Linked DNA regions of Drosophila melanogaster. The protein of the gene in region 1 purifies or fractionates together with the protein of each later gene. This does not show direct contact. Each region holds a gene or a part of one and is shown in the gene's direction. Other genes may lie near its edges. The genes, in order: Ntf-2, Prx6c, capt and Sh3beta.

Region 1 (9,047 bases):
ATGTGGAAAATATCCTAGTCAGAGGCAAACGAGTAAGAATTTCAAAACAATATAAAAATATATATGATATTAATTTATTGGAATTGTAATTTATTCAAATAAAATTAAAAGTGTGGAAGCGGAGACAATTCAGGTCTTATTCGTAGAGTGAAAGAATTAAATTTAATTGTAAGTTGCAAAGCGAATGCTTAGCAAACCCTTGACTGAAATTTACTTCTTTATGTGTTAAGCTAAAGAGGGCTCCTCTTATGTATTTCTATGAATTGAGTGGATCGTGCATGGATGCTGGGATAAGCCAAGGATTTGAGCTTCGTAAGCGGTTTTGACCCTTTGGTGGGAGTCGTGAATGCGGCTGCGGATGTTTATGTCTGGTGGATTGGGTGCCCTCTTGAGTGGATCGCGCATGGGTACTGATCAGCCGAGAACTTCAGCTGCGTTAGCGGTTTTGACCCTTTGGTGGGAATAGCGAATTCGGCAGCGGATGTTAATGTTTACATTAGGGCAGGCTGGATTTTTTATTGTCACCAGAATTGGGGTTCTTATGGGATACTTGAATTTATGACTTATATCCTAAGGCATTCTATGATTTGGTTTATGCAAAGACACTAGAATAACAAGATGCGTAACGCCATACGATTTTTTGGCACACGATTTTTTGGCCGTGGCTCTAGAGGTGGCTCCAGGCTCTCTCGAATTTTTGTTAGAGAGCGAGAGAGCGGAGAGCGCTACAGCGAATAGCAGACAACTGTATGTGTGCACACGTATGTTCATGCATTGTAAATTTGACAAAATATGCCCTTCACCTCAGAAGTTCTTAGACTTTAAATCTATATTATTTTTGATCAATTGGCACCATGCGAAAAAATCTTGTTTTGCATTGCAAATCCTGATCGTCCTCGCGAAGCAATGCTTCACGGCCATACCGCGGGGGGTCCTGGATTTGCCCTCCTTACTTTTACATTGTTAATCTGTTAATCTTAATCTTAAATGTTCAATAGACGAATTAAAAAAAAAAAAACCTAATCCTGTGTAATCAGAGCACTGGGGACGCGCGCGAGTAGCCGGGCGAATCGAGTTAACGCTCCTGGAAAACCCGAAAATTTTCCGTGTCGCGGCAGCTAAATAGAGACAGGAGTGACTGTCTCTAACACACAGTAATAGTGTAAAAATCACGGAGCAGACCAATAGCCAACCCCTCCGCTTATGAGTCCCCCGTCGGAACTTCACCCTTCACACCCAACCCTTAAGTCCATGACGCTGCGCTTGCTCTCTTGACCAGCCGGGCAGCAGCATAATAAAAACCCATTTTGCGTCTGAGCCAAGGTGGCCGGCGGAATGGTTTGTGTCTGAGCCTCATCGGCCAGCACCGTAACCATCACCTGGCGAATGGTATAGGGCCGCACACCTTGCAGTCCAAGGTTCTAAGGACCCCACCCTATAAGCCAAACGATGGCACCCCCAAGGGGCCATTATAAGTGACCTCCCCCCCAAACAGAGCCCAACCAGCAAGGCCCCCTTTTCTAGAAATCGAGGAGATGGGAGATATATTATACAACGGGGTGAGGAGCATTAATCTGGCAATGAAGAACACATTTGCCAGATTGAAGGATCTCCAACTAAAGCTGCGCGTGAGGCTGCCGGAGGAGGAGAATTCGCATGCCAAATGCACCGCAAGAACTGATGCTAGCCAACAGACCATCCCTAATGGCCTCTTTAGCTATGAAGAACCGAGTAAGGGCAAAGACGGTGTCAAACCAAAGATCGCACGGTGATGTCCAACGCCCTGCACTCCAAGGAGCTGAAGTTGGCGTTGCCGACTCGACCAGCAAGACGGTAATAATGCTGCTCAAAGGTGCCTTGAAACGTGCGACACATACTGAATATGCCATCCAACTGTTTTTCTGTTTTTTATTTTTGTTCTTAGCTAAATGTAATATGTCAAATAAACGAATTTAAAAAAAACCTAATCCTGCGAACCAAACATAGGTGTGTGTTGTGATGGAGGCAACTCCTGCGCAGGCGCGCGATGTCCGTAAATGTGGTGAGCATTGCCACGAATTGTGCGCGCCAAACGCAAATTTTCCTGCTGCGATGCATACGCACTGCCGGTGTGACCAGATCGGTCACTCTTATCGATATCGTTACCAATCCAGCTTACTAGCTTTAATAAATTCTATAAACTTGTATATCGAAAATAAAATTATTATTAATATTATATTAATATCATTTCAAATGGCAATGAATATTTAATTTTAGTAATAAATTGGGGTGGATATATGCTTTTCCGAATGTGAAGAAAACATCATCCTTTCAATATCTGGTTTATCCCTCCCGTCTGAAAATTGTGAAAATACAAGCGATTCCACATTATGAATAAACGGATCTAAAAATCAACTTTAGATACCTTACAATGGATTGTAAGTTGCGTTAGCTTAAGTATGACCTGCAATTAAACAACAAATCAAAGAAAAGTCGTCCCGAGCGAGGAAAAAAAATAATATATGAAACACAAATAATTGTTTTCCAAATGACCAAGTATTACGCCTGACAGAAATGCAATAATTTGTTCTTACATTTATGTGACCCTATCATCATCGAATCATATTTCAAATTCCAATTCCGATTTCGTTATTAGGACATCGGGCTGTAGCCCTGGGTATCGTAATCGATAGTTGCGAAATAGCAGTCAGCGATAGTGTCTGACAAAATCGACGTTGTTCCACCCCTAACAAAGAGTGGTGATCTGAGCGCAGTCGGTTGATTTCATTTGGTTTTTTTTTTAATTATTCGTGTCGCCGCGATCGGATCGGATTTCCCATAATCTCTGAGCGTTCCGCCTATCCTTCAAGTGAAATGTCGCTGAATCCGCAGTACGAGGACATTGGCAAGGGATTTGTGCAGCAGTACTATGCGATATTCGATGACCCGGCGAATCGGGCGAACGTGGTTAATTTCTATAGCGTAAGTGTTGTTGCTTCCCGCTTCTGCTCGTCGCCTTTCATCTCTCCTTTATTCCCGTCTCCGCTTTCGCCTGCACATTTTTCGCTTGCCATCCCCATCACACGCACAGGTGACGCGCGGCGCGCCCTTGAAAAATTCCGCCTCCTTTCAGCAGAAAATGAATAAAGAAACTGTTGCAATGCGAAAAAGAGCGCGAAAAAGAGCAGCTGGAGATATACGGTCGGCGTATCCGTGATATCGTGGGAATAGGATGAATGTTGATAGGGGCGGGGGCAGCGTTCGATTCTCGAAGTTTCGGGTGACACATTACGCCCATGCTCGCATAAATAAATACACACATACGAAATATATGGCCAACATACAACTGCGGTTAGCACAATAGGGCCCAATATACGATATAAATTCGTGAAAAAATTGTATTAATATCTTGAAAAATATGGCATAATTGTGTTTCATTAGTTTCAATCAATTCAGTTTTTTTGTCACATAAAAGAGTAAATGAAAGAATAAAAAAGTCTATAATGATAAAGTATTGAAAATAAAACTATCTGTTTGATATGTTTTTAATTTAAATATTAACAGTTTTATAACCAATTTTGTTCTTAATAATACGAAATATCATTACTAAGTAAAACATCATCATAACACTTATATCATTATATATTTTATACTTCCAGGCTACCGACTCATTCATGACCTTTGAAGGCCACCAAATACAGGGGGCACCCAAGATTCTGGAAAAAGTTCAGGTAAGTCCTGATTATATACAGTCATGGGCATATGTATAATATTTTGCATACCCTTCCTATTCCTGCAGAGTCTGAGCTTTCAGAAGATTACCAGAGTGATAACCACAGTGGACTCGCAGCCAACTTTCGATGGCGGAGTTCTGATCAACGTCCTTGGAAGACTACAGGTAAAACCAGAATTCTCAACAAGAAAACTGTCCTAAACTCGCTGTCGGGGGGAAATTCAATGACTGCCTGCGGCGGCGGTTAGAATATTAGCACTGCCGACCAATTCAATCGATTTTCTTTTCAAGTTTTGAATTTTATTTTTGGTCTTTTCAACACGTAAATGCTTGACAATCGTTTTTGTAACAAATAGAACGTTTTGTTTTGGCTTTCACATAAGAACATTATTTATTTTGCACTGTTTCCCATTTATTTGTTATCATGTATGGGCTTTATTAAGCCTGCCACTTTATTCCATTAAGTGTTCTTCATTCTAAGATACATTATACCCGTTACTAGTGCAGTTAAAGAGTATACTATATTCGTTAAAAAGTATGTAACATGTAGAAGCAATCGTTTTCGACAAAATGTAGTATATATATTCTTGATCAGGATCAATAGCCGAGTCGATCTGGCCCTCTCCATATGAACGTCGAGATCTCAGGAACTATAAAAGCTAGAAGGTTGATATTAAGCAGACCGATCCTAGAGACACCGACGCAGCGCAAGTTTGTTGATCCATGTTGCCACGCCCACTCATATTGTTCAATATGAAATTTCGCGTTCTCACTTCCAGTCGGAAAAGTCGACCATAGCATTCTCTCTTGTTTTGAATATAATATCCATTGACTTATTGATGCAGTTATAGTAGGTAGATAAATGAAATGAATTTTAAAAAGAGTAACTGCCTCAATGTATTTTACGATACCTTATTGTTCAAAGTGGATATATGTAGAGACGTAGAAGCAAATTTCAATCGCCCATCACTTAAGATATGAAATCATTCATCATTCTTCCGTAAAGTCGTAAGGGCAGTGCTATTTGCCGACCGCCGCTGCATCTATTATTCCATATAAGTCACCTGAATCTGAATCGAATATCTCAATTCTGGTTATTACAAAACGAAACACAAATGCCAAAACAAACCAATGCAGACCGACGAGGATCAGCCGCATGCCTATATTCAGACCTTCGTATTGAAGCCGGTGGGCGGCAGTTTCTTTGTGCAGCACGATATATTCCGACTCTCGCTGCACGATGTGTAGCACCAGCGAGCCCGACCTGCCACGCCCAGTCCACAGACTCCAGCGCCCGGCTATATGTGTGTAAATCGAGATCGAGATCAGCAGCCAAACGATCAGCCAGCAGACACGAGACGAGAGCCAGTTAAAAAACGAAAGAAATCCATATCTAAGCGATAAGATAGTTCTGCTGCTTGTCGACCTTATGCCGCCCAGCCATGCCCACTCCGCCCACATATACAAAAATATTTATCCTTGGCGTCTCGTCGTCGTCCAATTTCTTCTAATTATTCTCACAGTACGTGAATGTCCAACGAAAATTAATCAAATCAAAATGTTGCGCATTTCATTTCGTGCATGGTTTTCGTTGATTTTGAGTTGGATTTGCTCTTTCTTTCGGTTGGTCGCTGGGGACCTGGAACCTCCTAATAATGCAATTTTAATGTAACACAAACAATTTCTGTAACCTCTATTGCTTTACATTTTTAACTAAACGGTTTATATTTATATTATATTTTTAGATGCTTTCAATTGATATTGCACTTATAAAAATTCTGTTTTTCATTTGTTACAAAACCAAATACCAATTGACTAGTCTTAACTTGCATATTGTTTTGTTCAATAGCTCGAAGAAGAGAACTGTAAATATCCCAAATTGTTAAGCGCACCCTAATATGCCTTAAAAAAAAAACTTTCAAATGTTGTTCAATTTTGAATGGAACTGAGGAAAGTTTTGAGAAGTTCTTATATCAGTGAATAATAATTTTGCTCGCACATTTGGTATAAAGTTTATTCTGCTCGTGAAAATGTTTTGGAGTTATGTTCAATTTATCGAGCGAGCCCTGTACAGTAAACACGCACCTTACACGATCAATCGGCTGCCAGTTGTACACCCTTTCCCTCTGACCCTGGCTTCAAACTGTGTGTACTCCATTCATATCTAACTCAATACGTTGAAATTGGTTTTTCGCACGCTTGTGTTATTGACTTTAAATGTGACTGGTTTGCCTGGCATCTGCTAACGTATTTATGATTTCATTCCTTTGCAGTGCGATGACGATCCCCCACATGCCTTCTCGCAGGTCTTTTTCCTGAAGGCCAACGCAGGCACCTTCTTTGTGGCCCACGACATCTTCCGTCTCAACATCCACAACTCTGCCTAGGAGCACTCCACTTACCTACGTATGCACACCACTCAGCACCACACATAATCGACATCCAAAGATGCCCAGCGCCAGATGATAACAACAAGCTCGGCAGTGGAACTCAGAAAAAAAAAATATAACAAAGCCAGCCAGCGGTCTCACGATTATCAGCAAATACAAAAGTTAGAAAAAGAAAAAAAAAAAAAAAACAATAAAAAAATAAGAAAATAACGCTAACTACTATTACGATGTCAACAAAATGGGCCGCCAGCTCACCTTCATTTGTGTCCCATTGTTGCCGGTACTCTCGCTTTACGATCCACGGAACCCTAGAATTATATGTTCTGCGAACACCTGGATCTCGCGATCTAATTTAGCTAGGACTATCGAATTTGGTGGTATGTGCCGTGCTACAAGCTCGTATTTCGAATTCCCGTGAAATGAGCAGGAACAGCAGGCCGGGATCATCGCCTACATAAGTTTAGAGTGATTTTCTAGACCGTTTATATTTCCAATTGAATTATTTGTACTTTAATTATGAGGATTATTTTAGATAGCCGTATTGCAAATGTATTGTGTCGAGTGTCTCGCTCTGTAAACAATTACTTGAGTACCGGGACTGCACCACACACAGTCGCAAGTATCGACTCTTGCTTTCTCATATGACTAATTGAGCGATGGCGAATTACTTTTTATTGAGAGAAAAAAAAAACACTTAAATATAAAGATAAACGTTAACAGTTTGGTTGTTTGTATGATTGGCGGAATGGCCAGTTGAACCGGAAAGATATGTATACCCTTATAAGCTATTAAATGCATACGAAAGAAGCTCCAGCGGATCTGGCCAGTGGTTTCCGTCTAAAAACTGAACGATTCACTTGTCGCGAAATGTGAACACCGCATCGAATCCGAATAGCACCCCATTGACGATGGACAGCGAGGCCTTGATGAGCGCGAGATCCCGAGTTCGGGTGCGGAAGGAGAACTCCCAGGCCTCAATGATGAACACACCGCTGGCCACGAACAAGGTGCAGCCCAGGACGCTGAAGAATATATCGATGCGCTTGTGAATGGGTGCCCGCATCAGAACGCCTGCAATTGCAAGGTATCTTAAGTAGATTTGTGTGCAAATTTCGTTTTTGGTTAACTTATTTTAGTATTTTAACTCTTAAGGACTGGCATTCCAAGGCGTACCTGCAAAGACCCCGATGACCACTATGATGTAGCCCGTGAAGGTGCCAGTGGCCAGGAACGAAGTCATTATATCGCGATCGTTGAAGCTGTAGAAGTGGAGCACCAGACACGCTACCGCAAAACCCTGGAAAAGTGAGGGGATTTTCATTTGTGGTGCTTCTTGGTGTTCTTATAATTTCCGAGTCTATCTGGTATTTCGGGTCTTTTCTTTTAATTCCCAAGTCGTTTTTTTTTTTTTTTTTTTTTTTTTTGACAAACCATTGTTTAGTAAGCATACGCGTTGCTTTTTGCATTAATTCATTAATCCTTAGAACTTGCAGTAAAATCACTTGAAAAAAAAATCCTTTACCAGTTCGAGAAACTTGACCACATTGAGGCGGCCTTTTCGCTCGCCATGAGACATTTTGTGAAACTGCTGCCGCTGACAGTCCTCGAAAATGTGGTCCAGCTTGAAAATGTACGTGTCGCAACTCAAGAAAGTTCCAAAGTTCTTCCGATTGGCCTCTTTGGAGCGTGCTCGCGACGGCAGAGCGCTGGACAAACTGATTCTGATTCGGAAATGGATGACGGATGGCAGGCAAATGCGGCTGCAGTTTGCAGTTGGGCGCAGTCGGGCCCAGCCAGCGAAATTAATTAATTACACTTAGGAAATAGGCTTTTCATTCTTGTTCCCATCCCTGTGTATCCGCCCACGTCCACCACGTCCGCCGGGCCTCTCGGTTCCATCTCTGAAGTGGAGACCGTCTGCGTTCTCCGCTGCCAGCTGCACTCGAGCCCCATCCCTTCCAGCTTGATTGAGTGGAGCATAATGTCTGTATCTGCATGCATGCTCTGTGCCGGTGGGTGGCCAGTGGACAGTGGGCAGCCGCCCAATGGACTCGGACTCATTGTGCTCGCATTGCCATTACCCCAAATTTGCTGCCTAACCTTCGGGGCCCAAGATCGGAGCTAATTCGCGGAATCGGGGCCAACGGGTCGCCAATTTTCCGATGGTAATCAAGTGGATAATGGAAAACATATCGCCGGGGAAATCACTTCCTCAAATCATGAATAATCTTATGGACTTCATGGGAATTATTAGGTTGTAAGGTTGTGTTGCAACGCTTTTCAGATATAAAAGTGGATTTGTAATGCATGGAATATATTTTTTAATATATTACAAGTACTGTACTTTTTAAGTGCAATTAAAAGCTTAGAGCAACATAAAAAGTAAGCCGAATTTTATATACCCTTCACCTATAGTAACTTAGCTACCACTAGCTTGGACGACTACAGTCGTCCTGTTTTAATAAAATGTATTTTATTTCTATTTATTTTTCCTGTATTTTTTACGAACGTTAAACTGCAAATCCCATTCCGCTCGCTCCTAGTTCAGCTAAATTATATAGTTTATATAAAATTAGATTAGTAATTACATTTCCGACCCGGCCTGTTATTGCCTTATCTAATACCTGCAATAGGTTTAATAGTTTAAGTAAATACGATTACGTGGAAATAAACAGACACGGTAAGATTTAGTTGGGTGTCAATTCTGACTAAAAATATATATCTAAGTAATATATACTTTGTTCCTGACTAAAACAATAACACTTCCTGTGTTCTATGGTCAATTTGAAAACATGCAAAATAAGTTGTTACAGCTGAACAAATCTATTTTTAATTTTTAAATTAGTTCTCTATAGAGTGTTTATGCCACATGTTGAACCTATTTATCTTAACTTAACATCAACTGCTTTATTAATTTCAAAACCTAACCATTAAAATAAATATAT
Region 2 (4,768 bases), on another chromosome or scaffold:
CACTTTGATGGCCAACGGGTGCCAGCGGGCTTAAAGCAGTTGGGCCGGGCGATGTAAATGTCTTGGCATATTTTATGAGGACAGTTGGCTGGCAACTTTTCGCCGAATTTCGGAAAACAACTTTATCGTTGCATTTACCATTAGAGCTGGTCAAGGGAAAACTTTTACTACGAGGCGATCAGATCACTTGGGAAAACGCTCCGTTTGAATGGGTGGATAGTGTTAAAGATGATTTGTTTGTAGCCTCACATGTTTGGATTAGTTGGCAAACACACGCGAACGCACCGCATGGGCAAACAACACACAAGTGGAAAAGTTTTCGCGGACAAAAGTTTTCGCCGCCTGCCAAAAGGTGTGTGCACTTTGTCAGAATGCTAGTTTACTACGAACGGCGGTCCCTAGGCTCAAAGTCGGGGCGATACGATAAGACAAATATGTCAAAAAACAGTTTCGAGGACCGTTTACCGTTATGTTTCGACCGCTCAGCTACCGCACGCGCGCATCGCTAAATTTGAACTGAGCCGGAGCGCCAAAAAGCAAAGCAAAGCGAAAGCAAAGAAGGAAAGCAGAAAGGAAAACATGCGGCGTGGGCGATTGCGGTGCTTATCAAAATCAGCTGTTCGGAAGCTGACTTCAAGCGTTAGCTTTCAGGCGCAAAAGCTCTTCCTACAGTCACCGATGCGAAAATAGAATAGCTTTTGGAACACTAATATCAGTCTCAAGTTGAGACTCTCAGCCAAAATATTGGTTGACTTACATTTGTAAGCCATTTTGTTAATGCATCAAGCTGGTAAGCAAAATCGTCTGCTGGGGCATACTTTCAGGCGAAAACGAATATTTTTATACATCCTTTTGGCGGCGGGTTTCTTTCTGATGTTTTTTTAAATGTAACATATTTATAAGGATTAATATCAACGATATGCGCGGCCAAATTGAATTCTTGCGGCTATAAGTGAAAATCCTCATAAGTTTTAATTAAGAGAGGTAGTCAAAAAGAAACACATTTTCTTACATTGTTGTTATTGTTTTGTTCTTATTATTAGGGTTGTTTTTTAAACAAGATAATTTGTGAGCTTAAATAAGCTGGGTTACAAAATATCGAATATTTTTAAACTAATTTTATTAATTGTTATTAATAAGTAGGTCATTAAATTTTTAACGATTAAAACAAATTCTATTTTCGGTATCACAAAACTGATAAGTAATGGAAAATTACTACAAAACGTTTATTATAGAGACGAAGGTTTCTGAATTCTTAGATTAGACCTTATAACTAGCACCCTCTTACGAATGTACTAGTAACTTAGGAAATACGATCGAGCTATTGGAAGTGAATCCAATTTTGTTAAAGATAACCCACCTCTAAATAAATTTAACACTTGCTGCATTTTGAATATCCATGATGACTATATCTTTTATTTTAATTTCAACCATCTGAATCCCATTTGGGTACTGTCTTCTGAGTTAGCGATCTGCCCATCCGACTTTCCAAAACCCATTCGAACTATTTGTGTGTTTTACTGAAAAAAAAACCTATGCTGGTGTGCTTAATATTCGATAGACCCACGCACACAGTCTCATGATTTCACTCGCTCTTCACTTTCAATTGGAGGCTCGTTTTGTGTACGTGAACGGGAGAGCCGTGCGATCTATGGAAGTGTGCGATTTTTGGAGGCACTCACAAATACCATCACACTGCTCGGCGCTCTCTTGCTCTCAATATCCGCCTATCGATGTGGCTGTATGTTTGCAGGTGTTGGTGCTTCGCCTCTATTTACCAATACCATTTAACATTTAAATGCTCTCTGGCTCTCTGTTTATGTTTGGAACCGGCTTATCTGTCAGCTGGACCAGATCAGCTGTTTGGATGTTAGATGCTAAAGGAGTTTGCGCCTATTGGACTTTTAAAATGAGATTAATGAAGAACCAAATAAGGAAAACAGTACTTTATTCTAAGATACTTCCAGAAGCATTTCGTCTCAAAGTCCAAATTATGTACCACGTTTTGTAGAGGCCCCTGTCGAGTTTCACACACATGACACCATGCTCAAGGTTTCCCACTCCCCCCACCAAAGCAAACTACTCCACAATCTGTTCAGTATTGTTTTATAATCTGTTCACAGAATAATATACTACAAACAAACACGCGCGTTGAGGGAGCGCCCATTTCCTATCTCTATCGCACCCGCTATTTACGTCGATCACGTTGGGTATAAAAGACAGCCAGCTCTCCCAGTCAGTATTCAGTAAGCAACAAGTGTGCGAGCTAAAAGCAGCTACCAGTTGAGCAACTAAGTTTTTTTGAAACTAATAATCAAACAGCAAGATGCGTTTGGGACAGACCGTACCTAACTTCGAGGCCGACACAACCAAGGGGCCCATTAAATTCCACGAGTGGCAGGGCAACTCGTAAGTGCCATCAAACCCTTTTTCTCTGATCGAATCTTACCAATTCTTCTTCGGATCGCCAGCTGGGTGGTGCTCTTCTCTCACCCCGCCGACTTTACTCCCGTCTGCACCACTGAGCTGGGCAGGATTGCGGTGCACCAGCCGGAGTTTGCCAAGCGGAACACCAAGTGCCTGGCACATTCCGTTGACGCATTGAACTCGCACGTGGACTGGGTGAACGACATCAAGAGCTATTGCCTGGACATTCCCGGGGACTTCCCCTACCCGATCATCGCCGACCCTACTCGCGACCTGGCCGTCAGCCTGGGCATGCTCGACGAGGAGCAGAAGAAGGATCCCGAGGTGGGCAAGACCATCCGCGCCCTGTTCATCATCAGTCCGGACCATAAGGTGCGCCTCTCCATGTTCTACCCCATGTCCACTGGTCGCAACGTTGAGTAAGTACCTCTTTCGGGCTACAACTATTGTTAATCTCAACTGACGATCCTTTAATCTTACAGCGAGATTCTGAGGACCATTGACTCCCTCCAGCTGACTGATCGCCTCAAGGTGGTGGCCACTCCCGCCAACTGGACCGTAAGTTTTTCTACCCACTTAATGCGAACTGTTCCGAACTAATTAATTCTGTTTCATAAACAGCCTGGCACTAAGGTCATGATCCTGCCCACTGTCACCGATGAAGAGGCTCATAAACTCTTCCCCAAGGGATTTGATAAGGTATCCATGCCGTCTGGAGTAAACTACGTCCGCACCACTGACAACTACTGACACAAAACCGTTCCCCATTTGTGATCCATTCAATAATGTGCCGTATTTCCTGACATATACTATATACTATGTGCAGTTCATTTATTTAATAAAAAATTATTTTAACAAAATATCCAAACTATTTTAATTGATTTAATGAAAGAAATTTTTGGAGAATAATGTAATCCAATCAGAATTAGGGGAGTTACTGCGATTTTGACGTTCTTTTAGATTGTATAATGTCTGTTTTTTATTTCCTTGCGGATGGTATAGTGATTTTAATCTATTGATGTATTTCTATTGCAGTTGGTAAATAAGTCAAAACTGTATAATATATACGATGGAATAATAGTGAAAATGAGATGGTGTACCTTTTTTGACAAATTATTTGGTTTTTTATTTTATCAAAATCGTAGTGTTCTTATTCGGAATGCATCAGTTTTTAAAACCATTAGTCGTAGAGTAAAAGGATATACTGGGATTTCTTAAAAAGCATAAAACAAATAAAATGATGCCTTATCGACCATATGAAGTATATAAATTCTTGATCATGATCAATATCCGAGTCGAGGCTGAGCTGTCCGTCTGCATGAACGCCTTTGAAATTTATTCATTTTATTATACATATGTTGAACTTTCTCGTTCGCACTCCCACTAGCTAATTAAAGAGTATCTGATAGTCGAGGAAATTGACTATAGCGGTTTCTCTTGTTTAAATATAACATTACTCCAACGGAATATGAATCATAAATGTCATAACTGTAAGTGAAGTGTTTTTTGGTAGAAACATTCTTTATTGTGTACGCTTAATAGTTAACTAATTTTAACTAAGATTAAACCTGATGGCTAATACTTTGCAGAACTTTCTTAAATTCTAGAATAATTTGTTCTACCATTTCTGATTCGATGAAGGTGGTGGGGAGGTAGGCAATTTGATGCTGTTGGGAAAATGAAATTAATAGTTGTTCATTCAGAAATTTCGACAGATGTACTTACAGTTTAATTAACGGTCACCATTTTATGTATGTATTTTTGGTCTTTGGCCGATGATCCTACTATATCTTATTTATTCGTCTGGCCTGGTATTGCTTTTCGGTTCCTCGTGGAGCAGGTACTCCTTGGCCATGGTGTACGCCAATCCGGCTGTCAAACATCCAACGACGGTTCCCTGGGCAGCCACACGCAACTGCATCAGAAAGACGCTGGTGCTCATGCTGCCTCGGTTCCGATATTTGTAGGCTCCAATCAAACCTGCGGCCACGAATCCGGCAATACCCACCAGCATAAAGGGGGACTCCTTCACTTTTCGGGATAACTTGTTTGCCTGAGCGACATCTTCGTCGGTTTCGAATAGAGAATTGGAACTCATTTTGAATAGGTTAGAAAACTTGTTCCCTCTTCTTGTTAGTTTGCCTGATAATTGACAACTGAATTCCGAGTGAAAGAGATCCCTGGCTTTTATACCCACTTGCTTTGAGACGATCAGTGAGCGAGATAGCGACAGTGTTGTTTTCACTGATATGTATGTACATACATACCTATGTATATACACCGATATAATGTACAGCCGTGCGGGCAAGGCCTCCCTGTTGCGAACGCCTCTATTTTTGAA
Region 3 (8,469 bases), on another chromosome or scaffold:
CTGGTTCTCAGCACGAAGAATTTTTTGTATCTCATGTGAATGATGAACTAAATTAAATCTCCAGCTCATTACTTCTTTTATTTAACAATTGAAACAAAAAGTGTAATACTTGTAAGACATTTTCCGACATCGTTCTAAAGTCCATTACTAATCACGGCTTATCAGACGCCGCCACTCACCTGCAGTTGAGGGGAATGTGAACCGTTCACATAACCATTTGTCTTTTGTCCGTTTTTGGGCTGGTTCTCCAGTTTGCTGGGACTGGCTACGGGTGGCCACTTTAAGCAGCTGCCCGTGTCCGCGTTGGTGGATCGACAGAGATCGGCCATGTCCACGTATCCCCTGCCTTTCGTCCGCCTGTCGTACAGGCTGACGTGTTTGATGCCCACGTCCAGGGCAAAGTCGAAGATCCTGCTGAGGAGCACCGCATCCACGCCGGCATCTACGGGGGAGATAACCAGGACCAGATGCTGCGGCGTCTTCGTCAACTGGGAGCGGCAGTCAGCGAGCACGCGCCGCTCGTGCGCCTCACGTGCCGCTTTGCTGCGCCAAAGGTCATATGACCGGACGGCCAGTGCATTCAGTCGCTCTCGGAGCCGCCACATCAGTTCGTAGCCGCCGACCAGGAGCAGCAGGATCCTGCCCAGCAGCAGGCACAGCACCTCGATCATGTTGCGCAGGTCAGGGGCGGTATCTCGTACAGCGGTTGTCTCTTCTGCCAGGAATCCGCTCCTGTTGCTTCTTCGGTTCCCCGTCACAGTGTACACAAGCGGACATAACCTGCAAACGGCTGGCGGACCTGGGATTAGGGCTTTCCAGAGGTGCCGGCTGCCTACCCACGCTCATCCAGGGTCACTTCGCTACCTGTTCAGTCACTTGAGACGCGGGTGCATCTTGTTATCCGAGCGTAATCAAGTTTTAAGCGATGCGCTTCGCAAGAATAATGAAAATACGTGTTCGTCAGTGTGACCATGCGCCGGATTCCGCAAAATATCGAGAATCTAGAGCAGTTTTATAATTAAGAACTAATTAAAATAACTAAATAAAAAATAAAACATTGATTATTTAATGAATATGTTAGACTAAGTGAAAAGGGAATAACATTTTATTGGAAAACATCTTTATTAGACATACAATGTGAACGATTTAACAAAATAATTTACAGGACAAGAAATAGCGTCAATATCTGAAGGTGAACTCTAGTAGAAATGTACCGTGTTCAATCAAAATATAGTTTATTTACGTGTATATCGAAAAGTCCTAAATGCATTGCAAATAATTTAAGAATTAGTTTATAAGCTTGGCTATTGCACTTCCATCATATTTTATACATTTAAACATCCGTTTTCTTAAGTCTAAAATTTGTTGTATCATATATTTTTAGTATTCTGCCACCCACATAAGGGTTAACTCGCTTGACTATTTCCACGAATGTACGCCTGGTCCCACCAAAGGCCACGCCAAGTTATTATTTTCGCCATTTCGCCGGTGTTCGCTACGCAGCTTCTCGTCAGTTCTAATTGGAATACAACTGCAGATCCTTGCAAATTCATCAGCAGCAAAAGAAGGTGAGTAACGCCTGATTGTTGCTAAAAACGTTCATTTAAACGGGGCTTTGCTATTATTCGCAAATTCTCTTCTCCCGTTCGCCGGCTGAAAGTGTCTGCGGAATTAACGGTTATTGGTGAGGGGTGGGTGGTGCTGTCACGAATTTGAGCGTGTGTGTGTGATGCAGGCTGTGGGTGTTTGTACACACACAACAACAACAACAGCGAAGAGAGCCAAAAAGACAAGAGACAGCTGTGTGATGGCTATTTTTGTGTGATTCATGTTGCTTGTAAAATTAAATCTACATGGTGTATTTTTAACGATGATTTCATATCCGATTCCATGGCATAAAGACACAACTAATTCATTGCCAGCAAGTGTATGCAAATTAACCCTTAGCAGCTCCCATTGCGATTGTTAACCCCCGATAAAAAAAAGTAACTACTCAGCTGTTGTGGCCATTTTTTGTTTTTGTTTCGCTGACTCACAGACACATAGTTGATATGCATATGTATGTATGCATGTATGTAGTTTACGCAAGAGCAAACACGTTTGCTTGTATTCGTGCGCGAATGAGTCAAAAAGTTGGCCAAAACGCTTTTATCAGCGAATCGCGATTGAAAATCGGCAGATATTACCACTCACTCGATTTCGGTGGAAGAAAATAACACCTCGCCTTATAAGGTGGGCGATTTTTCTTCTACCATTACGAACACCCCCCACCCCTGGTAATTCGAGCTCACTCACACTCTCGCAGCGGGAATAACGGTTCCTCAGCTGCAGACATTTAATCTTGGTTTCTAGTTTTTCTTCCCCATTTCTTCTTTGCTTTCTGCACGCAACAAACGCATCTGCCGCAGAAAACGCATCAAGACTGCAAGGAGAACTAGTATCGCCAGGCGAAAGTTGAATCTCGGCTTACTTGTCCTCGGCGGCTTAGCCCCTCCCTCCAATCCAACGGCTACTGATGCATTTCCCACTCTAATTGCCAGCCATTTGTTTAAAGCTACTTAAAAACAAAAACAACGTTGCCGGTGCAATAAACCCATTGCACTAAGGCCAAAACAAAAACTGGCAAGCAAACGATATGGGAGTTTCAGTTACGTCGACGTTTTTATACTCTTCTGCGGCAGATTACTTCACAAAAAGCTGAACATTTTAAAACTGTTTTTATAGCCGGCTAAGATATGATCATTGCATCTCTCTACTCTCTATGGCTTACAAACGTTATGGTAATGCTCAAAATGGAATCATAGTTTCATTACCGATCATTCCTGGAAACTTTCCAAATAGTAAAGATAACTCGGTGTTGTCACAACTAATTGATAGGCGAACCCTGCCTTACAGGGCTGATAAAACTATGGGATCGCCGTGGTTTTCCCTCACTTAAGTCGCGCCACCCGTGGCGAGAAGGGTATCACGAAATCACAGTGGTGTCTGCGCAACTCTCTCGGAGAGTTTTCCATTTTCCGCCTGGACCGTAAGCTTTCTCTGCTGCAAAAGTGCAAGACATCGCCGGAGCTTGCACAAAATCCTGCATGTCAGGCCAAAAGCGGTTATTAATGAAACACATTTCATTGCCAGTCGGTGGCTGGCCCCAAATGGTCAAAAGCAGCGCGGAGTAGCCCAACAAGGCGGCGAAACTCAGCAGTTAACAGCGCGGAGCTCTCCTAACAGAGTCCTGTTGAGACCTTCGAGTTCGAGTTCGAAATCGAATCGAATCCCCGAGTGCGTGGGCGTGCGCTTCGTTTAGGGTGTGTTCTGTTCTCCGTGTGTAATCGCATTTGTGTGCCATTTGGTTCTGTGCTTGGTCGGCAGTCACTTGACCCAGTTGAAGGCGCGGACAACTCGGAGGACCTTATTAATGTGCCACTAAATTTGGGCCATACACTGAATATATGTACACAGTGAGCAAGGAGTGGCCACGTTCGTTGGAAACCCGTTGAGTGTCTTATATGGCTGCTGCTGTTACTGCTTCTACTGATTCGATTTGGTTTGGTGTGCCGTCAGTGTTGTGACCGCCGCTTGAGCTTCACGGGCATCCGCAGTCGAGCCACGGAACTTACATAATGTGCTTGATTCGTACCTAGAGTGTTGAGCACCGGAAAAGCCCAGCCACACGCCTGCAAAATGTTCTCCTGCTGCCGATCGAACCCCAAGGCGGGCAAGAAGGAGAAGGAAAAGCGGAACGCAGAGGAGGAGAACGGCGGACAGGTCACCGAAAAGGAGGAACCCCAGCTGAACGGCAAGCCAGGAACTCCGAAGGAGGAGCCAGAGCCTGTGAAACCAGAAAAGGAGCTCTTGGAAGCGCATAATCCCGAGGATGTGCCCACAAGCACCCAGCCAAACACTGGTACTGACGCAACGCTAAGTATTTACCCACCACCCCATCTATTCGCGTTCTCCGGCCTTCGAGCTCAACAGCTGTCTCGGCTTTTGTCTGCTCTCCGGAACGAAGGCCCCTATCCGGCCGGCTCTCACTCACTGCAATGCCACTGCAGCTGACCACCACTTCTGATCTTTCCTTTCATTTCAATCCGGGCACTTCAAGCTGCCTTGAGTGTCCTTTTCTATTTACTTATGAGTTGTCTTCACTGTGCTTTCTCTTCGGTTTATTTCTGTGAATTTTATACATATGAATATCAAGGAATTGCGCCGATTCTCAGTTGATTAATGAGGAATAGCTAATGACATTGCATACACACTTTTTGTTGAGCACTTAGATCGTGCTCATCCATCAAAGTGAACGTATAGTATATAGTAGTGACGAATATAGAAACTAAAATGAAGGTCAATAATTTAGACAGAAAATTCAAGATTCTATAGATTCTATAATAATAAGGTGAGCAGTAAAAACTAACTACTCAATCTGCCAGTGACCATGGTAAATGCTTTTAAATGCGATAAATAAACATAATGAAGACAGGAAGCGAGGTGAGCAGAGAGTGAAGTGAAGTAATCAACTTAAGTATCGGCGCTTTCCTTGATGATCGTCTTGGTAATTCGTCGCTTCATGTAGAGTAATCTTAAGCAACACTTCCACAGCCCAACCAACTCAGGCTGAAGCGGCTAGCAAATCATCACCAGCAAATCCAGCACTAGCACCCAAAGAACCGGAGCCACTGGCCCGCTCAACGCACTCTTCCACATCCACGGCACCACCTGCTTCGATGACCAGCGGCGACGCGGAGGAGGCGGACGAAGTGGTGGTGGTGGCGACGGTCACGCCGACCACACCGCCTCCTCAGCCGCCGCCCACCAAGAGCTGCCTGTCCAGGCACAACTCAACGCATCAGTCGATCAAGAAGAAGGTGAATATCAGCAACCGGGCGGAGATCATCGAGCCGGATCCACTGCCACTGCTCCTGCTGGCCAGCCAGAATCAGGGCTCCTTGCTGGACGACGACGAGGTGTTCTCCGACTCACTGCCGCCACCCAAGCGGGAGAGCATGTGTGCACCCTACATCGAGGGGGATGTCGTCTCGGAAACACTCTTCTTTGCCCACGGATTACCCTCGTGGTTCGACGACGAGCGCCTGAACGACATGTATGCTTACCCAAGATCCTGTTTTGGTTTCACGCCCAAAATATCCATATAGTTAAGCTGAAACCAGAACAGGTCGACCCCTGCATTCCCAGCCCCGCTTTGAATTGCCAGTACATCGTCTCCTCTGTCCTCGTTCCATGTCCAGCGGCTGCATCGAGCCCCCGGTCACGCCGGTGGGACGCGACGAGCTGGAGCTGAAGCGCCAGCGTCTCTACACGGAGCTCCTGCGGGCCGCCCATGCGGCTGTGGAGCATAGCGTGGCCGTGCGGGGTATGCGAGCTTCGATAGAGTCCGATTCTTTTGCTTTTTTTTTTCGATCTCAGCAGTTATTTAAGCGGATGCTTGACTTTCTGTGTTCTTTATGTGTTCGTTTTCGCTGTGAAGAAGTTTTGAGAGTCTAGCGATTCACGTAACTTCCTGATGGCCAATAAGTTCGCAAGTCAAGTGCTTCCGTTTAAAGGTTCAACTTAGTTCTTCTCTCTTATGATTTTTCGTTGTCTTGTGCCGTTTTTGCATGTGGATTATTACTTTCACTCGTTGGGATTAGCTCTTTTTGCATATTGAACTTTATAAGTATTAAGCGCACCAGTTCATCATCATACACAAGCTCGTGATGAGGTATTCCTCTCGAGACGCCTTAGTTTATATCGCCTTTTTTGTCAGGTATTGTGAGTGCACGATTCACTGGGGTTTATCACGCTGAAGCATCATCTCACTCAAGTTATTTTCTTTATAAAACTCAGTGTTATTTGAATAATTCGAGATAATTGCCAAAACGAACTAAACATTTGCCGTTCTCCTCCGCGTCATTTTGGTTCAGATAACGAGCCGGAAGCCAAGCCCTCGGCCGCCGTCGACCACTTGGAGAGCATTTGCGAGCGACTGGAGACCCTCGTCGACCGATTGGAACGGACTCTAACAGCGCCACAGCCGATAGAACTGCCCACGCCCACACTCCCGCCTCCGCCAGCCGAAGAAGAAGAAGCTCTTCCAGTTTTTGAAAAAGCAGAGACACCACCTCCACCTCCCTCGCCGCCCAGCAGCAACATGAGTGTCGCCGGATTCGAGGACATTGTGGCGGGTCCGCTGAGCCAATACCTAACTCTCTCCGCCAAAATTGGCGGCGATGTGGCGCAGCATGCGGAGCTCGTGAAGAGCGCCTTTGGGTGAGTCAGTCTGGATGAGTCATCTATGGTAAAAGTGTAATAATGCCATCGTTCAATTCCGCAACAGCTCCCAACTGCAGTACGTGACGCTGGCCACCCAGATCGCCCAGCCGGCGCAGCCCAAGCAGGCGGAGCTTCTGAAGCCGACCTCGACGCAGATCAGCGCCATCCAGGACTTCCGCGAGAAGCACCGCTCCTCGCCCTTCTTCAACCACCTGTCGGCCATCAGCGAAAGCATTCCCGCCTTGGGCTGGGTGTGCGTGGAGAAGACCCCGGGTCCCTATGTCAAGGAGATGAACGACGCCGGCCAGTTCTACACGAACCGCGTGCTCAAGGAGTGGAAGGAGAAGGATGTTACGCATGTGGAGTGGGCCCGCGCCTGGGTGCAGACGCTCACCGAACTGCAGGCCTACATCCGGCAGTACCACACCACGGGCTTGGTGTGGTCCGGCAAGGGAGCGGCCCCCGCCGGAGGTGCCCCGCCACCACCGCCACCCGGTGGTCTGCCCCCACCGCCGCCCATGCTGGATCTGAGTGCCCTCAAGCTGGATAGCGCCGGAGATGATCGCAGCGCCCTCTTCGCCCAGATCAACCAGGGTGCCGACATCACCAAGGGTGAGCAGCAACTGCAAAAATGGTTAAGTGCTCCTATAGTAAGAAAATGTATCTTTTGATAAACCCGCAGGCTTGAAGAAGGTCACTGGCGACATGCAGACCCATAAAAATCCATCTCTACGCACTGGACCGGCTCCGTTCAAATCGCCAGCCCAGTCGGGCGGCAGCAAGGCCGTTGCTGCTCCATCAGCTGCGCAAGCCAAGGCGCCCGTTTTCGAGCGCGACGGAAAGAAGTGGATCATCGAGTACCAGAAGAACAACACCGGGCTGTTGGTGGAGAACGCCGAGATGAACAACGTGGTGTATGTGTTCAAGTGTGAGGGATCCACTCTGACCGTCAAGGGCAAGGTGAACAACATCGTCTTCGACTCCTGCAAGAAGTGCTCCCTGCTGTTCGATTCCGTGGTGGCCTCCGTGGAGTTCGTCAACTGCCAGAGCGTGCAGATGCAGGTGCTCGGCTCGGTGCCGACGGTATCGATCGACAAGACCGACGGCTGCCAGATGTATCTGTCCAAGGACTCGCTGGGCGTGGAGATCGTCAACTCCAAGTCCTCGGAGATGAACATCCTGTTGCCCGACGACAGCGGCGATTATGTGAGTTCAAAAATTTGTCTCTTGTCTTCAGTCATTTATTTATTTTTTTTGTGATTTCCAGACCGAGTTGGCTTTACCGGAGCAGTATAAGACCACGATTGCCGGCAAGACCCTGAAGACTGTGTGCGTGGACAGCCTCGGCTAAGGCGGTTCTCCTCCTCGGGGATCCTGTTCGTTGCTTTTCCAACTGTCGTCAGCAGCAATCATAATTGTATTTAATCTAAGTGCAAAGTTTTCGTAATTCAAAGATTTTTAGATCAAACATTTCGTATTGATGATGTTGCCAAACATTGCTGTCCTGGCTCGTGGAAAGTATTTATATAATTTATTTCGATGGAAAAGCGATGGCCACAAACCGAACCCAATGTATTTATATCGAGAGTGTGTTGCAATGAGAAACTGAGCATGAAATCCGAACTTTTGAGCAGACTCTTTACTCGATCATCAGATGTAACTCCTTTTTATATTCTATTTAATAAAATTTAAACTTTTTTATCAGATTATTGTGGGAGTATCACAATTTCTGGGGGTGTTTTTCCTTACTTTGTAATCGTTTATTATTGCATTAAATCTAAAACTTCACTTTCGTCCGTTCGTACTTTTATTCTCTATTTAAACAAGGTGCTAGCATTTTTTATCAGATAAAAAAATGAGAACTTGATTTATTGCTACGTACATTTACAATTTCTTTAATGAAGCCGAGCTCAGAATGCAGGGGTCAAGGGTTGGATTGGAGGGGAATGGCTGGTGGCTAATACTAGGACCCTAGATCTTCTTGTACTCGATGCGCTCCACTTTGACCTCGTCGCCGATCAGTTGGTACACGTACGTGACCACCGTGGTGCTCTGAATGTCCATCAGCACGAACGAAGGCACCACATTGGTGTCCAGTGGGTTGAAGGCACCCGTGGCCGATCCCGGATTGATGTAGAATTTGTTGCCGTGCTCGTAGGCCTCGAACTTGTACGTGTGCCCCGTGATCAGGATGTCCACGTCCAG
Region 4 (8,477 bases), on another chromosome or scaffold:
AAAAACAGGATTCACAGGCGTGCACTCACGCACACGCAGCCGATAAAAGAAAATGGTGCAGCGATTTATGGCCGCCAATGCTGGCAATTTGGACTTTTTCTCGCCTTGTATGTATCGTGGGCAACAATTGTACGCTCTCTTATCTTATCGCTTATGGGGCGTGATTTTGGAAATAATTTGAGGCTTCAACGCTACAAAACAAGGGCCTTTGCTTAAAAAGAGCGCCGAAAATAGGAAGGTACAAAAATTTTTAGTAAATACTTTTCGCTAGTCAAAGTTGCTAGCAATGCATAATTTGAAAAGCTATTATCCGATATTTTCCCCAGAAAGCTATTAAAAATAGAAATGCCAGTAAAAAACTTTTAAATGCGAAGTTCGCGTAAGTTTAATGACTTTGATGACGTCCGTTTTACCTAAATAATCATGACAAGAGAGGAAAAAAAATTCAAGACAACAAAAAAATGTTTTTTTTCCCCCATTTCGTCACGATTAAATTATATTGTTCAATAAAATTAGTAAGCAATTAAACATATTGTTATATTCTTATATTCATAGCTTTTTCTAGAATAGAATGACAAAACCATTTTAAAAACCTAATTTTTATGAGACTATTATAGTTTCCACGACAATTAAAAGGATGTTGGCTTCCTTGGGGTTTCTAGCTTCTTTCGGCTATCGCCGACAGCTCCGATACCGTGCACCCAGCTGCTGTTGTCGCAGGAAAAGGGCGATACCGAATCGGAATACGAATCCAGAAACTCCGAAGAGAAGGAGAAACCAGCCAAAGAAAGCGACGAAACGAAGTGGCGCAGCGCAATTAAAGGACGACCGACAATGAAAATAAAAAAAACCACCACGCAAAGGCAAAATGCATAGCAATGCAGAGGGAAAATAAAGAAAACAGAGAAAAGTGTAAACTGTAACCCAATAGCAGAACAACCACCGATAAAAGAAAACTACGCAGGATAATAATGCGTGTTCTTCTCACTCTTCCCCTTTCTTTCTTTTCTTCTTCTTCGTCGCTGCAGCGGCAGCTGTACCAGCTGTTTTCCGCACTAACACACGCACACTGCCCTCTCGATAAACCGCAACACGTGTGTATGCGTCTGCTGCTGGTGTTGCTGTCTCTGCCCACAATTATTAAATATTTAAAGCCATATACAAAACGTTTTTGGGTTTAACGTTATACTCTTTTACGTGACAAATGCCAGAGATTAGTTTAAAAAAAAGCAAACGAAATGGCAGCAGCCAAAGCGATCACACTGGTTGTCCCACTCTAGCCTGCACACGCACGCACACAAAGAAACGCACACGCACACCGTTGTGAGTTGGAATGTTGATTTCATGAAATTTTAAAAATGGTCGCATCGCATATCATTATCAGCTTTTCAGAGGAACAAAAAGTTAAACAGCTTTTCCAACAATCGCACTTACATTAATGCGTATTTTGATTTTTCCTTCCGACTGCTTTTTTGCTTTCTGCACCACTTCACACGCGCTTTATTTACTTTTTTATTGTGCCACTAGTCCGCTGGCACATACCCACTTACATTCACGTCCGTACTTCAGTTTGGGTGATTAATTTAGGTTTTCGGTTAGATATAAGTAATGTTATTGCTTGCTGGTTGTTTGAGCAGTATTCCAAAGGCCACTGAAATGCACTGTCAATAGTTGTTCGTCCTCGGCGACTCGCTAGATATAATTTACAAATTTTCGTCTCGCTTCTTAGCAAAAATGGACGACGATGCTTGCGTGACGGGACGTGAACAGAGTGACCGCATGGCGACCGCTAATATTGGTTGCCCTGCTAACGGATCTATACCAAAAAATACTTTATGGTTCTACCAAATATAGCAAAAACTTCAAATAACCGAAAAGTCTGGGGAGAACATTTTTCAATTGCATATTCTATGTACTTTCTTGAGTCCTATAACCTTAAGTCGTTTGTAGAAAGTTAGCATTATTGCATTTTTATTTTTATGGAATTCAACTCCAAGTAACAAAAAATTAATAAATAAAAAACACCCTCATGTTCTAAATTCCACCGTTCCTTGAAGCCGCTAACTCATCGACGCCAAATTAAAAATAATTTGTTCTATAATAAGAATCCTTTTCTTCTATCTTTTAAAAAACCTTAAAAAGCCTATCTTATGCTTTTTATAAATTATTATTTTATTATTACGATTATTAATCGAAGAACGTTTAAAAAATGAAAACCTTACATGGGAGCATAATAAAATTTAAGTTGTCTTAAAAATATTTAATTTTGAAATATCACTTAAGTTCAAAGTTTTTAGTATTTTAATCAAGCATCATATTTAGTATATTTGATAAGCCGGAAGGTTTTCTATAGCCGTCAATGCGCGGTCCCACCATTCAATTCAACGACAAAGTAGGAAATATTTTCCACTCCTGATATCAAATATTTTTGCACTTTTATAAGCGTCGCCAGGCAATTTTTTTATCCGCGTCTTTGCCGTTTTTACAGCCAATAAAACCAACGACCTTGCCCAGTGCGTGTGCCTTCGTCACCAGTGGAAAAACATTACGTAGGGGCGCAGGACGGAAGAAAGCAGGAAAAGAAAAGATCTATAAATATTTTTAATCGCCGTGAAAGTAGCCAGCAGATTTTAGTTGCAAAATATTATTTCATTTGCGGTGCGAGGACACAGTAATCTGCGAAAATGGTCTTGAAAGTCTACGTCAGCGGCATGTCCGGCAATAAGGAGGTGAGTTTGTGGGCGTGGCGGGCTTAAAACCGAAATAGTGTCATGTTATTGGAATGTTTGGCCCTGGTATTAGCGACAAACAGATAAAAAGGAAAAGAAGCAAACTAAAGTGGTGACGAACGCATTGCAAATTCTATTTCTTCTGCTGCGTTTCGTCTTTGTGTGTATGTACGTGAGTTGGACAATGATGATGATGTAGTGTGTGGTATGTAAGTCTGTATGTCTGTACAGTCAAAGAAAAACAAGTGGGTATTTTCGTGAGTGCCCTTGTGTGCGAGTGTTAGTGGTGGCAAGAAGCAGAACAAACATACATTTCATTGCCCATATAAGCTCATTCCACTGTGAACTGTAAATTGTTCATGGAAGAGAGGGATTTCCATTGATCGCAGTTGCGTGGGTGCGTGTGCATGTGTGTGTGTGTGTACATGCGTGAGGGGTGATTCACTTCCCCCTCTCACTCTTTCGGTGCCTTTGTTCAATTGGCAATCTTCCTCTTCCAATAAGAACAAAAACATAACGGTCATTGTACGGTTCACAATTATTTGTTTTTGTCCTGTCTTTGTACACTTTAAAAAAGCGTTGGGAAACACATATTCTTATCGTAAGATAAATGCTGGGGTGCAACAAACCATTTTAATTAGCCTTATCATATCGCGTGGTTCTGGCGTTCTTTTTACGTACATATGTTTATATCGGCGGGGAGTTGGCTTTGTGTGCGCTTGTGTGCGTTTGGGCTTGCCGGTAACACTTCATTAGCGATTTGTCATCGCTGTAATTAACAGCGTTGTCAAAGGTAGCTACACTGAACAAAACGATACATGTTAAAGGTATTTTATATACTTTAATTTTTAACTTTCTTTTCAAATTTAAATGCTTTCACTGACCGTCGAAATCCAATTTTACAGGTGAAGAAGCGCCAGCAGCGCGTTCTGATGATCCTGGACAGCAAGAACATCAAGTACGACACGGTGGACATCACGGAGCCCGGCAAGGAATCCGAGAAGGAGCTGATGCAAAACAAATCGACAAGCAACGGTGGAACGGTCAGCGATCCAGAGCCCCGTCATCCGCTTCCTCCGCAGCTGTTCAACGACGACGAGTACTGCGGTGATTACGACGCCTTTGACATGGCCAACGAGATCGATACCCTGGAGGTGTTCCTCAAGCTGGCTCCAGCCGACACCACGGCAGTTAGTACCGCCCAAATCGAACTGAAGCAGGAGAACGGCGATGCCAAGAAGGAGGAGGCGGAAACGGAGGCGGAGGATAAGAAAACGGAGGCCGGCGATGGCGATGTGGATGTCAAGGAGGAGGCTGCTGAGAAGGCCGAGGTTTGAACTTGAGCTATTTTCACGTATTTTCCGTTAACTGTTACGACGCAACAAACGCAGCCAGCAATCATCTGCAGCAGAGCAATAGAATTAACAACAACAGCAATGTCTTGAAACTAAAGCCCTTACACTTAACAGCAGAAATAACACCCAATGTTTACCTAACAGCACAGATACTACCAACTTTCTACATACATATATCAATATTTTATGGAGCCCGTCTTCGATTTCTATGCCCATAGGGATTTGGGGGAGTTGTATAGATAATTGCAGAATATGAAGTGCAATCTTCCTTTTAAATTATACAAAATTTACAAAACTAACTTTTAAAACTACGAGATTTATTTAGAGACTTTTTAGACCTTCATCGGTAGAGCATGAAATCGAAGATCTTTCAATTTTTAACGAATTCATTATGACTACTGCGGTTCTTAAGCTAAGTTCATGAGCGTATTTAAACGAGGGCATTCGATTGTGTTGGCCCCCGGTGAAAAGACAATTTTAATCAAAATATTTATATTCATTAACTGACATCCAAACAACTTGTATGTACCATTTATACACACCTGTAATAAGGACTCGGAATACTTACTCGGAGCACTTAAGCCTAAGTTGGAGTAGTGTAGAGAGCTGAAATTTATTGTGCAGCCGTTATGTTAATGCTAAAACATAAAAAAGCGCTGCCCCTGTAATAAAAGGAAATATATTTGTATTAACTAAAAAAAAAAACTATAACCAATCGCAAGCTTGTTTTTCTAACACTATGCAACACACTCAAACTCTAACACCAACTTATCAACGGCTAGTTTAACAATGAGAATGTGACAACTTAATTTACAAAAAGGCTTTTTTAATACCAAATATCTATAGAGAGATTTTCCAAAGTTGGTCTTTAGGTTTGACGAAAAAAACTTTTCACGAAAAGTACAGGAATATGGTGAATTTCAATATTCTTGAGCAATTTTGTTGCCTTAAAGACCGACTTTTTCGAAACAGTTTCGTAATGTAAAAACATTACTAACAATTGAGTGATTCTCTAAAGAACGAAGACGGCAAGGACAAGGAGAATTCAAAGGGCGAGGATGAAGACGCAGATGAAGAGAATGCCGAGCAAAAGGTAATAGATCGATAGATCCTGCATGACCGAACCATAACTCTAGGCTTTTAGAGCTTATAGGAGCTAACAAAGGCATGATCTCTTGCACTGTAGTAGCCTAGCGATTGTCTGATCTTGTAAATACAACTTCCACTTTACCCCCCCCCCCCCCAAAAAAAAAAAAAAAACGAAAAACCACCAATCAACAACCCACAAAACATTCGCACCCCTAATCCCACCACCCACAAAAAGACTGAAACCGAAGAATCTGGGGACAAGAAAACGGAGGAGAAAACTACAGGTAAAGTAGGAAGATCGTCCCTAGACTCTAATCAAAATTTCTACCCCGTAAAGACGCTGAAGGTGAGACCCAAGAAAAGTCTGAGGAAGTGGATACCAAGGAAAAATCAGAGGTTGAGAGTACCAAAGATGATGAGGTTGGAAAATCCGAGGATGTTAAAGATGATGAGGATGAAAAATCCGAGATTGTAAAAGATGATAAGGAAAACTCCCAGGATGTTAAGGATGATAAAACTGAAAAATCCGAGGATGTTAAAGATAAATTAGAGGGAAGTGAGGAGACCGCAGAAACATCGGAGGATGCTGACACTACTGAGAAACCAGATGTTGAGGCCACCAATGATGATGGGGATACAAAATCGGAGAAAAACGAGACGCAAGAAAAGTCCGAGGAAGTTGATGCCGTTGAAGAATCAGAGGCCGAAAGCTCCAAGGAAAAAACGGAGGAAAATGACACCAAAGGCACCAAAGTCAATGAGAATGATAAAGACGAGGATGTTGAAGAAAAGACCGAGGAAAATGCAACAGAAGAGTCCGCGGACTCGGATAGTGCTACCAAATCAGAGGTTAAAAGTACCGAAGATGATGAGGTTGTAGAATCGGAGGATGTGAAAGATGAATTCGAAGAAAATGAGACCAACAAAAAGGTCGAGGAAGTTGGTAGTACTGAAATATCCGAGGTTGTAAGTACGGAAAACGAAAAATTTGAAGATATTAAAGAAAATCCTAATGAAAATGAGGCTCAAGAAAAGCCCGAAGAAGTTATGACTGCCGAAAGATCTGTAGAGGAAACCAAAGAGGAAGAACCAATCGACGAGGAAAAACCTGCAGAAACGAAGACAGAAGACACGCCCGAAAATGAAGAAAGCAAACCGGATGGCGAGAATTCCTCTTCCGAAGAAAGCGAAGAAGAGTAAAAGAAAATCGATTGAACGACAACAAAAAACGCACTGACATCCGCATCACAAACACCAATGCACAAAACGCACACATACACACACACGCACATAAAAAAACGCACATTTAGCCAAATAATACCAAAAATGTTTTGTAAATAGAAACAAGAACCCACTAATAACGAGTCTGGTGACGGGTAATGAACCCTAGTTTAGGCCTTTATGTGACTTATTTACAATTTTTACTCCTTTCCCAAAACAAACAACAAAAAACTCGCTGCTGTCTACAACAACAATGAAAGAAGTTACCAGCGACCACAACAACAACAGCAGCATCAGCTAAGAAGACTTCAGATTCCCAATCGGATCTCTTATTGGACAGCGAGCGGGCAGCGGCTGCGCAGTAGGCGTCGACGTCAGCGCAGACAGAGGCAGCGCCAACTTTGATTTAAATTATTTTTATGATTTCCACAAACTATTCGGGCTTGTTGCAATTCTCACTTGTTTTTGCTGATTTATTATTTTATGTGTCGATACTCTAACAATGATACAACCGTTTTTTATTTATTACAAAATTAATTTACTTTTGCGCTAAAATATATTCAAATTCTAAAAGCTGTAAGCAATTAGTTTATCCAAAGGCTTAGCAAAAATGTAATAAAAAAAAAAACTTAAAAATTGCTAAGGTTTAGGCGTGGTCAATAACTTGAATGGTTTAAATTAAAGTAATTGTGATGCTATTTATTTAATTGAATAAAATGTTAATCTAGAAATTCAGCAAATTGTGCAGTAAATTTATGTTAATTCAGCATTAAAGTGAGCGAAAGTAGCAACAAGCCCGTGGGTTTTTCTTTCTCAGTTTATAACACAACAAAAGAGTAGTAATATCAATAGACTTTTGTATTTACGTGTCTCACTTTTAGTTCTTGTATCCAAATAATTAAATATACAGTACATTATAATTATGTTTAGTACAGTACACGGTAAAATGAAGTTATAGTTATTTACGCACTAGTTCGGGGTCTTTTCCATTACAAAACTAGTAAAAATGCGAAGGAAGGGTTCGCATTGGTGTGCCTCCGCCACGCGCCACGCGAAACTCATTTACTAAAAGGAAAACAAAGAGGCTTCTCTTCCGTCCCAGTGAATTAGAGAGGAGGTTGAGGTTGATTGGGGTTCAGGACGTCTATCCATCCGTCCGTCCGTCCGTCGCACTGTCCATGTAGACAGTGGATTTATTCGCCGTCCTCCTCATCGGACGTATCTGTTGTATAGTCGCTCAGGTTCTCCTGCTGATCGGTGTGCTCCGGTTCCGATTCGCTCAGATCCCACTGAGGATGATCCGTCGGTGGTGCGGGAGCCTTCTGTACATCCAACTTCAGCTCCTGCTGCTGATCCATACCCAAATACGAGTCTGAAACAGAGGAAACATTGTGTGAGAATCCCCCCTTCGAATGCCAATGTACTATGCAATCCAAACTCTTTTAGAAACTCACCCGATCTCAGGCAAACGGTGAACGTGTAGACGCCCGGCCAGCGCGGCGCGGTAAACTTCAGCTGGATCTCCTCCTTCTCGACCAGATTGGTCACATGATAGGGCGCTGTGAGCAGGGTGCGCGACTTGCGATCGCATATGTAGGTCCACCAGTACTCCTGCTTCTCCTCGGGGAAGTAGGGGCAGTGGACGGTGTGCGACAGCCGAGACTTGCCCTCGAGACGCTCCCTCTTGTTAAGCTTAGCTTGCAGTCGCTCCCACTCCTCGTCATCGTCGTCGTCCAGCGAGGAGTTGTTCTTGCCCTTCTCCTCATCCTCGCTGCCACTGCCGGCAGCCGATTCCACATCGCTGCCATCCGCATTTCCAGCCTCCGATTCGGCATCGGAGTTACCCGCCGCCGCTTGATCCTCGGATGCCGTGATCGTAGCTGTTGTCGCAGCCTTGGCCGGCACCTTCTTCTGGTTCTTTTGGTTCTGGGCTGGTTTCTTACCACCCTTTCCCTTGCCACCCTTACGTGGCTTGGCCCAGGCAGAAGCCTTCTTGACCGGCGCAGCGGCAGCAGCCTCATCCTCATCACCGGCAGCCTCCTCATTGGTCTCATCCTTGATGCCCTGCTTCTCAGGCGCCTTT

What was found.
Region 2: the proteins of Ntf-2 (region 1) and Prx6c purify together in Drosophila melanogaster (affinity purification with mass spectrometry, with the first as the bait; one large-scale study listed by BioGRID). This does not show direct contact.
Region 3: the proteins of Ntf-2 (region 1) and capt purify together in Drosophila melanogaster (affinity purification with mass spectrometry, with the first as the bait; one large-scale study listed by BioGRID). This does not show direct contact.
Region 4: the proteins of Ntf-2 (region 1) and Sh3beta purify together in Drosophila melanogaster (affinity purification with mass spectrometry, with the first as the bait; one large-scale study listed by BioGRID). This does not show direct contact.

The regions. Positions count from the first base shown.
Region 1 is NC_004354.4:21,032,761-21,041,807, forward strand, and holds Ntf-2 (nuclear transport factor-2), read left to right. Parts: upstream 1-2,708; 5' UTR 2,709-2,853; coding exon 2,854-2,961; intron 2,962-3,070; exon of another isoform or gene 3,071-3,330; intron 3,331-3,638; coding exon 3,639-3,710; intron 3,711-3,778; coding exon 3,779-3,877; intron 3,878-4,849; coding exon of another isoform or gene 4,850-4,960; exon of another isoform or gene 4,961-5,234; intron 5,235-5,985; coding exon 5,986-6,099; 3' UTR 6,100-6,955; coding exon of another isoform or gene 6,956-7,173; 3' UTR 7,174-7,186; intron 7,187-7,254; 3' UTR 7,255-7,275; coding exon of another isoform or gene 7,276-7,399; 3' UTR 7,400-7,624; coding exon of another isoform or gene 7,625-7,678; 3' UTR 7,679-8,707; downstream 8,708-9,047. Other genes in the region: CG15449 (uncharacterized protein), read right to left, coding at 6,956-7,173, 7,276-7,399, 7,625-7,678.
Region 2 is NT_033778.4:10,416,479-10,421,246, forward strand, and holds Prx6c (peroxiredoxin 6c), read left to right. Parts: upstream 1-2,239; 5' UTR 2,240-2,326; coding exon 2,327-2,409; intron 2,410-2,471; coding exon 2,472-2,846; intron 2,847-2,909; coding exon 2,910-2,985; intron 2,986-3,048; coding exon 3,049-3,177; 3' UTR 3,178-3,283; downstream 3,284-4,768. Other genes in the region: CG11825 (uncharacterized protein), read right to left, coding at 4,223-4,569, 4,625-4,688.
Region 3 is NT_033779.5:1,151,178-1,159,646, reverse strand, and holds capt (capulet), read left to right. Parts: upstream 1-3,335; 5' UTR 3,336-3,678; coding exon 3,679-3,901; intron 3,902-4,593; coding exon 4,594-5,095; intron 5,096-5,240; coding exon 5,241-5,365; intron 5,366-5,915; coding exon 5,916-6,261; intron 6,262-6,328; coding exon 6,329-6,876; intron 6,877-6,946; coding exon 6,947-7,470; intron 7,471-7,531; coding exon 7,532-7,615; 3' UTR 7,616-7,969; downstream 7,970-8,469. Other genes in the region: Tango14 (transport and golgi organization 14), read right to left, coding at 180-671; Vps29 (vacuolar protein sorting 29), read right to left, coding at 8,236-8,469.
Region 4 is NT_037436.4:7,363,142-7,371,618, reverse strand, and holds Sh3beta (Sh3beta), read left to right. Parts: upstream 1-2,358; 5' UTR 2,359-2,684; coding exon 2,685-2,729; intron 2,730-3,428; exon of another isoform or gene 3,429-3,547; coding exon of another isoform or gene 3,548-3,556; intron 3,557-3,634; coding exon 3,635-4,060; coding exon of another isoform or gene 4,061-4,066; exon of another isoform or gene 4,067-4,778; intron 4,779-5,102; coding exon 5,103-5,177; intron 5,178-5,408; coding exon 5,409-5,457; intron 5,458-5,510; coding exon 5,511-6,373; 3' UTR 6,374-6,549; intron 6,550-6,654; coding exon of another isoform or gene 6,655-6,759; 3' UTR 6,760-7,035; downstream 7,036-8,477. Other genes in the region: Sec63 (secretory 63), read right to left, coding at 7,588-7,766, 7,849-8,477.